Linked DNA regions of Nothobranchius furzeri. The protein of the gene in region 1 purifies or fractionates together with the protein of each later gene. This does not show direct contact. Links are inferred from orthologs where the notes say so. Each region holds a gene or a part of one and is shown on either strand. Other genes may lie near its edges.

What was found.
Region 2: the proteins of rps6ka1 (region 1) and cdc37 purify together in Homo sapiens (affinity purification with mass spectrometry; 4 studies listed by BioGRID and IntAct, with this or other methods). This does not show direct contact. The link is inferred for Nothobranchius furzeri from reciprocal best matches to the Homo sapiens genes RPS6KA1 and CDC37.
Region 3: the proteins of rps6ka1 (region 1) and hsp90ab1 purify together in Homo sapiens (affinity purification with mass spectrometry; 3 studies listed by BioGRID and IntAct, with this or other methods). This does not show direct contact. The link is inferred for Nothobranchius furzeri from reciprocal best matches to the Homo sapiens genes RPS6KA1 and HSP90AB1.

Annotation. Positions count from the first base shown.
Region 1 is NC_091758.1:28,115,870-28,121,089, reverse strand, and holds the end of rps6ka1 (ribosomal protein S6 kinase alpha-1), read left to right. Parts: intron 1-2,503; coding exon 2,504-2,626; 3' UTR 2,627-2,645; exon of another isoform or gene 2,646-2,771; intron 2,772-3,762; 3' UTR 3,763-4,163; downstream 4,164-5,220. UniProt on the Homo sapiens protein: Serine/threonine-protein kinase that acts downstream of ERK (MAPK1/ERK2 and MAPK3/ERK1) signaling and mediates mitogenic and stress-induced activation of the transcription factors CREB1, ETV1/ER81 and NR4A1/NUR77, regulates translation through RPS6 and EIF4B phosphorylation, and mediates cellular proliferation, survival, and differentiation by modulating mTOR signaling and repressing pro-apoptotic function of BAD and DAPK1.
Region 2 is NC_091745.1:3,428,799-3,433,991, forward strand, and holds the start of cdc37 (hsp90 co-chaperone Cdc37), read left to right. Parts: upstream 1-1,676; 5' UTR 1,677-1,691; coding exon 1,692-1,693; exon of another isoform or gene 1,694-1,699; intron 1,700-2,463; exon of another isoform or gene 2,464-2,524; intron 2,525-4,083; exon of another isoform or gene 4,084-4,325; coding exon 4,326-4,434; intron 4,435-4,671; coding exon 4,672-4,947; intron 4,948-5,193. Other genes in the region: uncharacterized protein, read left to right, coding at 1-120, 199-453, 525-532; cmc4 (cx9C motif-containing protein 4), read left to right, coding at 1,404-1,461, 1,540-1,676. UniProt on the Homo sapiens protein: Co-chaperone that binds to numerous kinases and promotes their interaction with the Hsp90 complex, resulting in stabilization and promotion of their activity. Inhibits HSP90AA1 ATPase activity.
Region 3 is NC_091742.1:8,415,047-8,420,271, reverse strand, and holds the start of hsp90ab1 (heat shock protein HSP 90-beta), read left to right. Parts: upstream 1-1,746; 5' UTR 1,747-1,887; intron 1,888-2,650; coding exon 2,651-2,794; intron 2,795-2,864; coding exon 2,865-3,071; intron 3,072-3,154; coding exon 3,155-3,314; intron 3,315-3,412; coding exon 3,413-3,546; intron 3,547-3,615; coding exon 3,616-3,924; intron 3,925-3,994; coding exon 3,995-4,160; intron 4,161-4,252; coding exon 4,253-4,443; intron 4,444-4,557; coding exon 4,558-4,705; intron 4,706-4,783; coding exon 4,784-5,052; intron 5,053-5,152; coding exon 5,153-5,225. UniProt on the Homo sapiens protein: Molecular chaperone that promotes the maturation, structural maintenance and proper regulation of specific target proteins involved for instance in cell cycle control and signal transduction. Undergoes a functional cycle linked to its ATPase activity.

The DNA.
Region 1 (5,220 bases):
TAACGCAACTCTGCACATTTTTTTCTTTCCTCCCAGAGGGGAAAGAAACATAATTGCTCTGCAAAAAGGATTTTTCAAGAAAGTTTGAAAAAAGCTTGTTTTTAGACATGTTGTCTAATGTTTAGTCATAAAAAGAAAACAAATCTGCAAATCAATACGACTTAAAATAAGGTAAATATTCTTAAATATGATCCAAATTTTCTGGTTTTCAGTAAAAGAAATCTGCCTTTGAGGTAAGCAAAAGTAACTTGGCTTTAATTCTTAAAACTAGAATAATAACCTAATGTTCAATTTCATTTTGCTTACCTCACTATGAGATCTTTTTACTCAACAAGAAAATGTGGATCAAATTTGAGAATATTTACTTTAAGTAGTGTTGTTTTGCAGAAAATAAAGATACCATGTCTAATAACAAGCCTTTTTAAAAATCGGTTTTTGCAGTGTGGAAATCTCAATTTCTAATTTTTTTTGTCATATTTATTGTGGCCACAGGAGGGCATAATGCCATTTAAATGTGTTCCTTTTGTGCTAATTTGTTTGTTTTTCCAAACTTTGCTCATAAGTCAGCCTAAACAATGAAGAAAAATGAAATACTTTCTTTAATAAAACACTGGTTAATTTAATATTATTATTACTTTTACTATTTATTTTAATCATCAGTATTACCACTCCACACACCGTCAGTGGGTGGCCTTGTCACATTAGAGTCCTAAACTGTTGCTTATATAAAGTCAACCACCAACACCCACATATATACCCAGCTGTTCACAAAAGTGACCACTAAGCATGTGAGCAATAACACGGGACGAGTTACATTTTTTAACATTTCAATTTAATTCAAATGGTTCCGGCAACATTAGGGATGCACGATATATTGGCATCAATCGGTATTGGCCGATGTTAGTCCTGTTTTAACATACAAGTATCAGTCTGATATGCAAAACTGGGCCGCAATCAGCAACCAATATTTTTTCCATCTCGTTTTCGTGTGTGTGTGTGTGTGTGTGTGTGTGTGTGTGTGTGTGTGTGTGTGTGTGTGTGTGTGTGTGTGTGTGTGTGTGTGTGTGTGTGTGTGTGTGTGTGTGTGTGTGTGTGTGTGTGTGTGTGTGTGTGTGTGTGTGTGTGTGTGTGTGTGTGTGTGTGTATGTAAAACCTTAGTTAAAATGGATTGGATGGAGAGTAAGTGATGCCACTAGTTCCCATAAATTACCTCAGTCCTCTAAAACACTACAGATCAGTAGAGCTCCTTCAGTTTTGATCAGAACTCTGGAATAAGAAGTGTGGCTCATCAATGGGTTAATAGTTATTTAGACAATAGGAAACAGTTTGTTCAAATAAATGATGCCAGATCTGAATTGAAAGATATTCATTATGGAGTGCCACAAGGGTCGGTCCTCGGACCTAAACTGTTCATATTGTTTATTAATGACCTTATAAATATATCTCATCTACTTGGTCCAGTTTTATTCAGGATTAAATATACATGAAGTAACTCAAGTAATAAACAGTGAACTGATTAAAGTAAAAAAAATGGTTTCATATAAATAGACGGTCATTGAACCTGAACAAAACAAACTATACTGTTTAACAACAAAAGAAACTGTGATGTATCTTTAACGATAGATGGAATGGAAATTCAAAGAGTAAAAGAAACCAAATTTCTTGGAGTCATGTTTGATGAGTGTCTCACTTGGAAATCACATAAGTTATATAAAGGGGAAAGTTGCCAAAGCCATAGCGGTATTATATAGAGTCACATTTCTGCTAAATTGGTCTGTGTTATTAATGTTGTATCACTCGCTGATTGAAACATATTTAATTTATTGTCTGGATATTTGGGGAGCCACATGCAAAACTTTTACTCAACCTTTGTTTATTTTACAAAAAAGAGCATTGAGGATCATTAATAACAGTAACTACAGAGATCACTCAAATTCATTATTCATTAGATATTAAATACTGAAATTTCCTGACTTGGTAGAGTGGAAAATATTGCAAATAATGTACAGAGCGAATACGAGTAATTTACCAACTAATATTCAGAAAATGTTTCATAGGAGAGTAAGTGGGTACATATTAAAAGGGACTGATGTCTTTAAAAAAACTAAATTCAGAACCAAAATGAAGGAATGTGATATTTCTGTAAATGGTGTAAGATTGTGGAATGCCCTTAACAGAGATATTAAAGATTCAAACTCACTTGCTATATTCAAAAAATGCATAAAATCAAATGTATTAAGCAATTGTGAAAAGGTAAATTAAAATGTCAATGATTATATATATAAAAAGTAGAAAGGGACTGAGGCTGTATTGTGTGTTTTACAGATAATTTTCTTTTGTAAAAAGGGGCAGAAATGATAAGATTTTTCTTCTATCTGCTCCTTTTCATTCAAATGTTTTTTTTTCATTATGTTTATGTATTGCATTTGCTTGTGTTTATTTCATAAATTTTGAATGAAATAGAGTAAAAAAAAAACAACCTCTTGTTATTGTTTACATTCAGGGTGCGATGGCCGCCACCTACTCCGCCCTGAAGAACTCCCAACCCCCTCCAGAGCTCAAGCCCATCGAGAGCTCCTTCCTCGCCCAGAGGCGTGTCAAGAAGCTGCCGTCCACCTCCCTGTAGAGACTCAACAGCTGATCAGGTCACCGGGGGCTCACCAGCACCACGCGGCTTTGCTTTGGGACGTTGCGTCCAGCCTCCAAATGAAAAGAATATATGTATAAAAAAAAAAGATTTAAAAAACAGCCAAGGAACACAAACAGTGGTCCTGCACTTGCTATCTGTGTGTGGGCCGATGTGATCCGAGCAGCAAGACGAGGGGGGAGGGGGGATGTCTTACTGCCGTGTGGATGAGCGACATGTGAGCGAGTGATTGCATGAACCTGCAACTGTTTTTGATGGTGACATGAACGTTTTCTCTCTGGATCGTTGCTGTAGTTGATCCTCGCTGCACGCTTGTCCGTCTGCCTGTTCCGTTGTCCGTCTGTCTGATTTTCTTTTTTTTGTTTGTTTTTTTTGGGGGGGTTTTTGCAGAGTTGATGAGCTTTATGTTTCTAAATGCGCTGCCAAATCAATCTGCACTCACACACACACACACACACACACACACACACACACACACACACACACACACACACACACACTCACACACACACACACACACACACACACACACAAACTGTTCAGCTGCTGTTCAATGTTTTTCAAAGAGCATAATTTCATAAAAATATAAAACCTCTTTCCACAAACGCCTTGTTGGTTTTGGTACAACCAAACCAGATGAGGTGGATTCTGGGGAGGAAGAAAAATACACGAGTATTTGCTTTTACAGTGCGATTGTGTGCGAGTGTGTGAGTTTGTGTGTGTCAGTTGCATGACTTGCAGTTTATGTTTGTTGTCTTGCGGGATGCTGCAGAGCCGTGCATGGTCTGGTGACGTAATGATGTCATGTGGCTTCCTCGTTTTTTCTGCTCTCCCTTTTCTCAGCTTCGTAAATCTGTTTGCAAACATTTGAAATGTTGACTATTTTTATGACTACAAAACTAGTAAAGTAGGTGGCTTTCCGTGAAAGAAAACCTGCCCGAGGAACAATGTGGCATGTTGCAGTTTGCTAAATGACTTTTTTTTCTGAAAGATGTATTTTCAAGGCTGTTTCTTGTGTTTTCAGCTTTTGTTGTTTGGTTTTTCATCTCAAGAAAGTGGGGATTTAAAATGGTAAAAGACACGCTGAGCTGATCTGTGGACTTGTTGCCTTGCAGGTCTCTTCTTCTTCCCTCATTGTGGAATTTCCCTTTTTATGCAATTCCTGAGTTTGGAATTCACCTTTTTTTTTTCTACACTCGACGGACCTTGATTTTGAGATGTTCTGAAGAAGTGTGTCTCAAACCGATTCCCACAGATGGGTAGGTCCTGCTTTCAGCTCGGTGCCTACATGTGAGGAAGCATGTCTGGAGTAGAAAACGGGATTGAGAATGAAAGAAGGAAGGACCTGTAAGGCTGAATAATCTGTTAGCCAGCTTTCTTACCTCTAAAGGGATCAAAGTTCTGATATATTTCTTGTTTGGTGGTCTTTTGACTGATGGTATTATGGTAAGATGTTATTGTATGATAAAGATGAAGATTTTTATATCTTATGATATTAAAGATTGAGTTGCTATGATCAAGTGTCCTGTTGTTTTCTTATTCCTATAAAAGAAAAAGCTCATAATTCACCTAGAACAGGCTAAATCCCTTTAGCGGCACTTAGTGTGGACATTTTGGTGTCGCTGCAGGCAAATCCGAAGAGAAGTGGATGTTTAAACTTTCTTTTCTGCTCAGTTTATTGTCCCTCAGATTAAAAAAAATCTGATTTTTGCAATCGTGCACAAAGAGACAGGAAACAATGATACAAATAAATCATCAGTTTTATTTTATTCAAATTTTTCATAATTTTGCGACTATTTTTAATCGTTTAATCACATCAGTTCTCTTTTTTATATTTACTACGCTGAAAATCCTCAGATGAATAATCAATAAATTGTAAAGCAGTTTGCTTTACAAAATTAATGTTTTCCTAATGTCTCCATAAAGAAACACTAGAGGGAGACAAAGTGCAAATGTCTGTATGCTCAAACTCAGGCTCTTATGTTTGTAAATCCAGGATCCTGTTAGGACATCTTTCAAAACAAAACAAAAAAACATTTAAATGTAAAGTTGCATTTATTTGCCTCCTGACCTGAATTATACAAGAATCCTTAAATTCACAGCTTTATGCATTTTAGGTCATCCGTCCAGCCTGACATCTAACAACATCTCTCTCTCCTCATCTGCAGCACCTTCTCCTCTCATCATCTCCACCTGCTTACCACCACCCTCCTACATATCCGACCTTCTTGTGACTGCATCTCACATATTTATACAGCATGTCTGAGATGTGCCTTCATTTCACACAAACACACACTCTGATATTTTACCACCAGCAGGATCTTTGACGTCATTTTACACAGAATTCACACTGCAGTGAAGAACTTGCACACACACCTACTTGCACATGCACAGAATGACTCAGGCTGCAGCAGCTGAAAGACAAAACTTATTGATTAGAGAACGGTGGAAAAGCAGCTCCATCTTTTGTCTCAGTAGAAGATTCAGAGTTTCATTCTTGTTCCATTTCCTTTATTTAAAGCTTTTCTAAAGTTGAGCCTGCACTTTATGACTTTGTTTTATTTTGTTTTGAT
Region 2 (5,193 bases), on another chromosome or scaffold:
CACCAACCAAAGCTGAGAACGAGGCAGAGTATAAGTGTGTAGCAGAACTGGAGCTTGGACCAGAAGGACCTCAACCACCTCCAACAGTGTCTTCAGAACCTCTCACTGCCTATGTCCTCTGTGAGTTATGAAGCTACTTTCACTCCTAAAATGTCCCAATAATGAAACGTAAAGTCTGTCATTCTTTTTTTTTTTTAGTTCCCCCAACTTTTTTCAGTCCTGAAACAGAAGTTTTAGAACTTACCGAGGGTGATGGGATCACCCTAAACTGCACAGCTGCAGGAAACCCTGCTCCTGCCTACAGCTGGCAATCCTCCCATCCCATAGAGGAGCGGGTGAAGGAGGAAGCAGTCATCACCTCCTCCTCCCTTCTCCCTGGGACATACACCTGTGCTGCCTCAAACACGCTGGAAAAGAAGAGCAAACAGTTCATTGTCAAAGCAAAGACCAAAGGTAAAGGGGAAGTATGAGGAACTACATCTGCAAGTAAAACTCTGCATCCTAATTTGTTTTCTGTTGTTCAGGTGTTTAAGGCCCACTAACAGGACTTGAATCAGCTGGAAGAATTTCACTGAGCAGGTTTTATTGCTGCTGCCTCATGAGATGGAAGCATTCAGTAATCAGTGGATGTTTTGATGTATTCTGTTATCATACAGAGTTAGATCTCACAAAGAAGACAAATGAAGATGTTTAGCAAACGCCATTTATTATGTGAAGGTTGATTTTTGTCGTAGTCTACTGTTGTTGTTTTATGTAATAAAATTTCCCTTATTATATATGTACTAGAATATTTTTAATGATCTAATAAGTAAAGAAAATCATAATTTGACAAAGTATAACTACCCTTGATACGCCAATGACTAACAATGTGAAGTTACTGTAAATATGAACTGTTTCTAAATGTTCTTATCTTTATAAATAAAGTTAAATAAACAAAAAATTCTTTTTATGGTTTGATTTTTAAACGTGTATTTTGATAGTTATTAGTGCCAGTTCTGAGTAATGTAAATAAATAAACAAAATTTCCGTACTTGTGAAAAATACCTCCCACCAAAAGATTATGGCTTCTTTAAAATGTAAATTTATACTTTCTGAAGGTTAGTTAATGAAAAAAATATTCAAAATTATTCTATAAATACATTTTATGTTCGGTTACTGCAAAACATTTTGGAATTACATTTAGGTTTTCAAGGCGACGTTGTCAAATTCCTTTGCAACACCAGAGGTCGCTGTTGTTCATTGTCCGGATTTGATTAGATCTCGTTGCGTCACATGATCACTCTCGCGAGAGGAGAATGCATCGCACTAGCTAAGACGTCCAGGTGGGAATCGGCTTTTAGCTCCTTTTGGGTATCCTGATGCTTTAAAATTTGATTACACTATTGCTGCGTTTTCTTTCAGGCATGCCGGAGAAAGATCCGTGTCAAAAACAGGCATGTGCTATTCAAAAGTGTCTGCAAGGTACATTAAATGTAGATGAAAATGCTGCTAGACAGCGGGCGAACCCCACAGTCACATAACTCCGTTCCACTCCTGCAGCCAACAACTACTCGGAGAGTTTGTGTGAGAATGTGATCCGAGAGATGCGGCGGTGCTGTGAAGCTCAGGCCGGGAAATCCATCTGCTGCTCCGGGTTTAGGGAGTCCAAACCAACGGGGAACAAGAGCAACGCATAAAAACATCTCAATCAAATGTCAGTGTGTTTGGCATTTACCGTTGGAATGTATTCATTATTACATGTATCATAATAATTATCATAAAAGTACACACTAAACTTAACACTGGACGTGTAAACGTGTAAAGCTTTAAGATAACACTCCTCCCTGGCAGTGTGATTAACTACAACCAGGTTATGTCCACCGCCCTCTGATCGTGTTAAAATGATCGAATCTTTGCATGCCAGTGAGCTGAAGATCACGTGAGACCATGGACGTAATTTTGGGGGGGGGGGGGGGGGGGGTCAGGGGGACATGTCCCCCCCACTTTTTCCAAAGTCAAGTTTTGACCCCTGCACTTTTTACCATCCAAAAACAATTTTACGCTATATTAAATTCACACTGGTTGAGCTCTAGGACCAAGTGGAAAACAACTGTTTGTGTTGAAGCCTGTTTCCCATTAGAGCATACTGTAAAGATACCCCCCCCCCCCCCCACACACACACACACCCGTGTCCCCCCCACTTCTAAAGTGAAAATTACGTCCATGCGTGAGACTGTTATAAATATGCTTGCTTACAGAAACAAATACATTAAAAGACTGATAGTAGACATCTTGACTGTGATTCTGGTGGCAGACCCAAACTAAACTCCTGATATTTATATTAAAGTGGTCCCAGCTCTCCTCGTGTTTATTCTGCTCAGAGCTCTGGGTTAATGTAAACGTGACGATTCACGATCACCAGGTAAAACATTTAACTGATCTATATTTTTGTCTATTTGTGTGTGTTTTCATGTCCCTGTTCAGGTCTGTAAAAATAGGTTTTTTTATCATCATGCTTGTGAGTAATGCACATATAGAACACACTGTAAGTATTTTCAGAAACATTTAATTTCTAAAAACAATCTCATGTGTGGCAATAATATGTTCCATATTACACCATCCTAACACCAACTTTCATCCTTCAGTCATTACTTCTTTAGAAGCTTCCTAAACAGATTGATAAAGAGAGCAATTATTCTATTATTATTACACATACTATTTTAAAACTGACCATTGCTAACAAAATACTAAAATTCATTGCAAAAGTCATCCATTAATAAATTATTGATCACGTCGAGGTTCCATCTTCACAGTGCAAACATTGAGATTACCAGTTTCAAACTCTTGAAATCATTTAGATTTATTCTAATTGAATGTGTCCAACAAAATGCTTACTGGCACTTATAAGAATGTCCATGTTGGGTGGATGAAGGGCTGAAAGCAAACGAAACAAGAGAAAATTTAACAATTCCAGAGATGAGCTGATTCTGGATTTAAGGGCCAACATGCAGATTTCTTTTTCAACCCTGACCTGCTGAGCTGATACTACTATTTTGGGCTGTTTATGTTTAATGAAAAATCAATCAGATTTTTGGTATTTGGATGATCACTGGTTAAGACGCCATACTGAATACTGGCTTGTTTGGATCTCCAGTCAGCTTTCAGGGTCAGCTCTAATTATTGTTTCTTGAGAAGCGTTTGCTAGTTTATATCTAAACATTTACTTGTGGTTTTTCCATCCAAAGAATAACAAAAAATAAAATGAAAAAAAAAAAAAAAAAAAAAGCTGAACACTATACCATCATCAAGACCTCTCAGCCTCTGTTCTTGGTCCAGTAAAGAAGGTAAGATGTCTCGCTGAGAAAACAGCCTCAGTCTGTGGATGTTTGACAAGGGGGAAAAGTCCAAGAAGATAGTTTTATTCGGTAGAGAAAAACAGTTTGCTTTTTTAAGTTTTACAGAAATGTTTAGATTAGCTGAAAAATAATTGTGTAAGATACTTGATATTTTATAGTACTTTCAGTTTAGCATACAATAATAAGTTAATAAATAAAAGAAAGTCAAAGCACAAATGTGGAGAAAAAGAAGTCACGTCTTGTAAAGAAACTACAAAAATAGTTGTGATGTAAATACTTTTATAATCTGTACAACAGACTAACATTCTGACTAATCTGCTGCTAACCAGGTTTAACTATATGCAATAATATGAGGATAAGGATGGATTGGTACACGATCAGACATTATGGTTTTTATGTAGGCTACACAAATGGTATCTATATAGTGGAAACGATATTTCGGTTGTTTAGAAATCTGAGTAACTACAGTAAAAATACGAAGAAAGAAATGAAGGAAATCTGTTCAGTTCACTTTTGTAACTCATGGTGTTGTGCCGGAAAAAGCCCCTCTGTTCGTATAGGCATTTGTGTCAAACAGACTTTGTTCGAAACCGAACTTTAACTCATACATCTTTACTTGTTTATTAACGGGGTGCGTTTGTGAAAAACTTGGTTTTTCTAGTAAGTTTAACATACGGTCGCAGGCACATACGAGTGCATTTTTTACCACAACACCTGCGTCATACGTGCCTTTTACGTCATGACGTTTAGGCGTGTAGCGGAAGCTTGCAGCAGCGAATCTTTCTAGAATTTTGTAGCAGCATTTGGCTAACTGTCGCTGAGACAGTCCAGCTCCTTCCCTTCTGATAAGACTACAGTCTAATGCGCCGTTGGTAGTTAACACATCTTTCGGAGACTTTGGAAAGCGTCAGAGTGTTGTTGAATTTGTTTTTCCGAGAGTTTTAATTGAAATTATCGAACTCTTAAAACAAGCTAGGTTCTGGTTTACAGGATGTCCAGGATAGATTACAGCGTGTGGGATCACATTGAGGTCTCGGACGATGAAGATGATACCCACCCAAACATTGACACACCCAGCCTCTTCAGATGGAGACACCAGGTACCTTTTTGATTTATAACGTGACTGAGTTTTGATTTTCTTTTAACTTCGGACTGGTACTTTGGTTAGCTGGCGTCCTAGACTCAGTTTGGTGTTGCAAACAACATTCTCCCTATGCTAATTCCTAGCAAACCTGTTTATGTAGCTGTAGTGAATTACTAAGCCTACAAAACTTGTAACAAAGTGTATTGTAAAAGTTTTGTACCTCCAGTTGTGATTGGCATCATCCCATTTCAGGCACGTGTGGATCGAATGGAAGAGTTCCAGAAAAAAGGAGAAGACATCAACAAGAGCCTGAAAGAATGTCGGCGCAAGCTGACTGAGACGCAAAAGAAACTGCAAGAGCTAAATGTGTCGGGTGAGGCCAAAGCAGAGCTGAGCAAAGTCCAGGCTGAGGAGAAGAAATTGAAAAAGGAGGAGAGAGATTGGGAGAGGAAGTTGGATGAATACAACAGAGAGGAGAAGAAGATGCCGTGGAACGTGGACACACTCAGCAGAGATGGTTTCAGCAAGGTGACTAGGATCAGGCAACAGCTTACTGCGAAATAGAAAGTATTGGTTTGCATCCACTGGTATCAATGTTGGCAGACCTGTCAATTTATAATCAATAGTTGTCTCAGCGGTTTGATGGCAATATTTTTTTCCCCCAATTTCATGTTTAAAATCAGTCTAGTTTGATGCTCAGCATGAATGTTGGTCATTTTTTTGTTGGGAGTAGCTTGTATACAATCTCCTGAAAATACAAACTAAAATCATCCT
Region 3 (5,225 bases), on another chromosome or scaffold:
TAAGTACGCTAAAGCTAGCAATGAGCACGTTACCCGATATAACACCGGCACAGCTAAAATGCTAAAGTAACCTAGCCCGAGCAGATGTTAATTTATAATAAAACACTGACTTTCCCAAGGCTAAACATGAGCTCGAAGTAAATATAAAAGCCTCTACATATACCTACCACTCAACCAGGTGGCGTATGATGAGATAAAATCCACTAAAAATGTTAATGATAGTGAATTAATAGCTAACGTTCTGGACGCCTGATTAGCACGCTAGCTGGTCGCGGGCCCTCGAAAAGTTTGACGCACGCGCTTTAGGAGCAAGAGTACTGGCGCGCTTGTTTTGTGCACCAGAGTGTATACACTGAACGGGGCTTAATGTGAATTCGCAAAATGAACCCTTTTCAGGAAACGAAACTTCTGCTAACAGGGTTCGATCAGATTACCTAACTAACCTTGGAAGACCTAATGCGCGGTAGTAACTAAATGAATAAAAAAGGTTGAATAATAATAGCATTGAAATTAAGTTACACCAAAAAAGCGGTCCGCATTTTTTTTATTAAAACGATTTGTTTCTAATCGGTTTAATTTACAAAACATCTGATCACATAAAAAAACAGCATTGTGATTTTCCTACTCGTTTTAATCAATTAGAGGATAAAGCCATCATATGATTATTTCAATGTTAAACTTCTTTTTAAATGTTTTTTAAAAGAGTACATAAAAATTCTGTGTACATTATTGTTAAAATGGTCATTCTTACCAATTCTGAAATTGTAACTAATAAATAACATATTCTGTATGCAAAGTATGACTGTACTTCTGTTATTTATCACTGAGGTTACTATCTAAATTTATAAATGTGTCTTCTGTAGTTAAACTACATAATAGAAAGCTGAATCATAATCATTTGTGCATCTCTTGCATTTGATGGGTCTAACTGCGTACATTTATTCCACTCTAATCCACTTGACAACAGTGACTTCTTCCCCTTACACTGTACTAAAAACTCAATTCCAAAGTCGTGATCAACATGACAAATATAGTATTACATTTATGTATAGCAGTCCATCTTCCACTGGTGTTCTATGTCCATAAGAAAATCTGTAATTCATATAATAACAACCATTAGTTCATTTGACAATATAAAGCATATATTCTCATGATTCAGTACGGAAAAGGGTTGAGTTGATGGTTGTTAAGGCGTTTTTGCTGTAGGAACATTTTGTGACAGATGATACGTCGGGAGAGGAAAGGGGGAGATCTGTGACGTCACTTTAAGGCGGGGCTTTCATGGAAAGTGCTAGAAGCAGGCTAGAAGAAACGAAGCACACCTTCTCGTGTTTGAAATATTCATCCGTCGGAGTAAAAAGACCCACAGTCTATGTCGAATTTCAGGGAAACTAGACGCCACTTGAGATTTGAACTTGACGCGTGGTTTTAGTGTTATGCGAATCATTTCTCTATGTTGTCGCTAGATGGGATGATTGAGATCAAAAAACATCGCCTCTCAGTGCATGGTTTGCTGTAGCTCAACCTACCACAAGATGGCGACAACGTTACACTAAGGTCCGACTTCGTATACATTTTCTTTACTTAGATTGCATAATTGGCATTTAAACCCTTTTTACCCAACAAAACGTGAATAATAGATTATTCTTTTCCAGTGAGGAAGCATACAATGTGTGTTTAGTTCTGGCTGCGGTTTTACATAAAAGTGATTGCTTCAGGTTGTAGCTCGTGAACTGCGGATGGATACGACTGCACACTGCGACCCACGTGTATAAAGACTGGTCTGGTGCCGAAAAGTAGTTCCTTTCCTTTTTCTTCAGTCAGGGAGCGCAAGGGACTACACTTTTGCTGCATTTTATTCAAGAAAAAGTCAACGAAATTACCAAGGTGCGTACATTAACGGGTCCGTAGCTCGTGTCAGACATCCTTACCTTTATAAGTTTGTTAAAATATCATCGGTATGTATGTGTTTAACGAACATTATTAGTTAATGAAAATCCAGAGGTTAATATGGTGGTCGAATAAGTGTTTCGTGGAAGACAGACGCCTAGTACGTCGGCTGATGTTTTCATTTTCCTCTCGAGAGACTACTATTTGCTTATGTTTCCGAGCATCGTAGTGATGCTCTTGAGCAGCGGGAATGCGGCACCGTGATGTCAGGCAGGTGTGGTGACGGTGACTCCGCTGGATCGAGTTCTCGGCCTGATTAAATCCGTTATAAACCCACGTTAAACCGGTACACTGAGTTTAATGTGTGCGTAATAAGGCCTGGTTACCAGCCACGAGGGGTAGTGTTCATTTGGTCGTTACGTAATTGAACGCGGTTTCAATTAACCTCCACGTTTTACTGAAACTATCACATGGAGGCTAAAACAAGTACGTTTGTAGTATTTATGGAAGTCGTCGTCGCATTGTTTATCTATTAAAGTGACTTGAGTTGATCCGCCTTAATCGTTCGCCAGCACGTGTTTGCTGCGTCCATTGTCTAGTAGAAGCCATGTTTGTTAACTGACACTTCCGCCCTTATGTAGCAGACTGCTGCAGCGGCCATCCAACTTAATGAAGCCACTTGACGAAATCGCGTTACTTTGAAACTATCTTAAGTTCTGTTTCACTTTCATTTACTGAAGTGACTTTGTTATATTTTCAGATGCCTGAAGAAATGCACCAAGAGGAGGAGGTTGAGACCTTTGCCTTCCAGGCAGAGATCGCTCAGCTGATGTCCCTGATCATCAACACCTTCTACTCCAACAAAGAGATCTTCCTTAGGGAGTTGATCTCAAACGCTTCTGATGTGAGTCTGCTGAAGCTTCAGTATTCTTCTGACTTTAAGGAAGAAACTAACCGCTATTCCCTGTTTTCAGGCTCTGGACAAAATCCGCTATGAAAGCTTGACTGACCCCTCAAAACTGGACACTGGCAAAGATCTGAAAATTGACATCATTCCCAACAAAGCTGACCGGACTTTGACCCTGATTGACACCGGGATTGGCATGACCAAAGCTGACCTTATTAACAACCTGGGCACCATCGCCAAGTCGGGCACAAAGGCCTTCATGGAGGCCCTCCAGGTACTACGCATCCCATAATGGCCTGCACAGGATCTTAAGAGACTGACTGATCTTGTGAAGCTAAATTTGTTTTATTCCTCCAGGCTGGTGCTGACATCTCAATGATTGGTCAGTTCGGTGTGGGTTTTTACTCTGCTTATCTTGTTGCTGAGAAAGTGGTCGTCATCACCAAACACAATGATGATGAGCAGTACGCCTGGGAGTCATCTGCTGGAGGTTCCTTCACAGTCAAGGTTGACAGCGGTGTGTAATTCTAACCATCACCAGTGACGTCTGAGTGTGCACTACTTGCTTACTCTAGTTTATTTTAGCTTTTCTGAAAATTCCTCAAATGTTTTCAGGCGAGCCCATTGGCCGTGGAACTAAGATCATTCTGCACCTGAAGGAGGACCAGACAGAGTATGTGGAGGACAAGAGGGTCAAGGAGATCGTTAAGAAGCACTCTCAATTCATTGGCTACCCCATCACCTTGTTTGTAAGTGCTTAAAAGTACGTTTTAAAAATTTTAAGTCTTGGGCAGATTTCTAAAGCTTTTATGTCGCAGGTGGAGAAGGAGCGCGACAAGGAGATTAGTGACGACGAGGCAGAGGAGGAAAAGACCGAGAAAGAGGAGAAAGAAGAAGAAGCTGAAGACAAGCCCAAGATTGAAGATGTGGGTTCAGATGATGAGGAGGATTCCAAAGACAAGGACAAGAAGAAGAAGAAAAAGATCAAGGAGAAGTACATTGATCAGGAGGAGCTGAACAAGACCAAGCCCATCTGGACCAGGAACCCCGATGACATCACAAATGAAGAATATGGTGAATTCTACAAGAGTCTAACAAATGACTGGGAGGATCACCTGGCTGTCAAGGTACACGAGTTTCCGACAAAGTTTTAACCCTGCGGGCTGATTTTTTTTCTAATGCTTTATTTTCTTTCAGCACTTCTCTGTGGAAGGCCAGCTGGAGTTCAGAGCCCTGCTCTTTATTCCTCGCCGTGCACCCTTTGACCTCTTCGAGAACAAGAAAAAGAAGAACAACATCAAGCTGTACGTCAGGCGGGTCTTCATCATGGACAACTGTGAGGAGCTCATTCCTGAGTATCTGAGTAAGTTCAGCTGCATTTTCCACTGTGGTCTGAAATGATTCCACAGACTCTTTAAATGGCTAATGCATTTAAAATTACTTTGTCCACTCAAGACTTCATCCGTGGTGTTGTGGACTCTGAGGACCTGCCCCTCAACATCTCCAGAGAAATGCTGCAGCAAAGCAAGATCCTGAAGGTTATTCGCAAAAACATAGTCAAGAAGTGCTTGGAGCTGTTTGCAGAACTGTCGGAGGACAAAGACAACTACAAGAAATTCTACGAGGCTTTCTCAAAGAACATGAAGGTATTGAAACTAAATGGTGGATTCATCTGAATTGGCTTGGTGTGTTTTATAAACTGAGGGACGCATTGCTGTATTTTGCATTTAAAGATCATGTTTGGTTGCTTTTTTCCTCAGCTGGGCATACATGAGGACTCTCAGAACCGCAAGAAGCTGTCTGAGCTTTTGCGCTACCACAGCTCCCAGTCTGGTGATGAGATGACCTCCTTGACTGAGTACCTCACCCGCATGAAGGAAAACCAGAAGTCGATCTACTACATTACTGGTACTAACACACACTATCTGGAAACCACACCTCCCCGTAGACTTGTTCATCCTTGCTGAGGATCTGGTTTCTCTGCAGGTGAGAGCAAAGATCAGGTGGCCAACTCCGCCTTCGTCGAGCGTGTCCGCAAACGTGGCTTTGAGGTGCTGTACATGACAGAGCCCATTGATGAGTACTGCGTCCAGCAGCTGAAGGAGTTCGATGGCAAGACCCTGGTCTCTGTCACCAAGGAGGGTCTAGAGCTGCCTGAAGATGAGGATGAGAAGAAAAAGATGGAGGAGGACAAAGCCAAATATGAGAACCTCTGCAAGCTCATGAAGGAGATCCTCGACAAAAAAGTGGAGAAGGTGTGTGTTTTGGGTTTCCTTTCCCTGTAGGCTTAAGTTTTCATGAAGGGTTTCCTTGTGGTCCAACATGGTGTAAACCTTTGTGCTTAATTTCCTCCAGGTGACTGTGTCCAACAGGCTGGTGTCTTCCCCTTGCTGCATTGTGACAAGCACGTATGGCTGGACGGCAAACA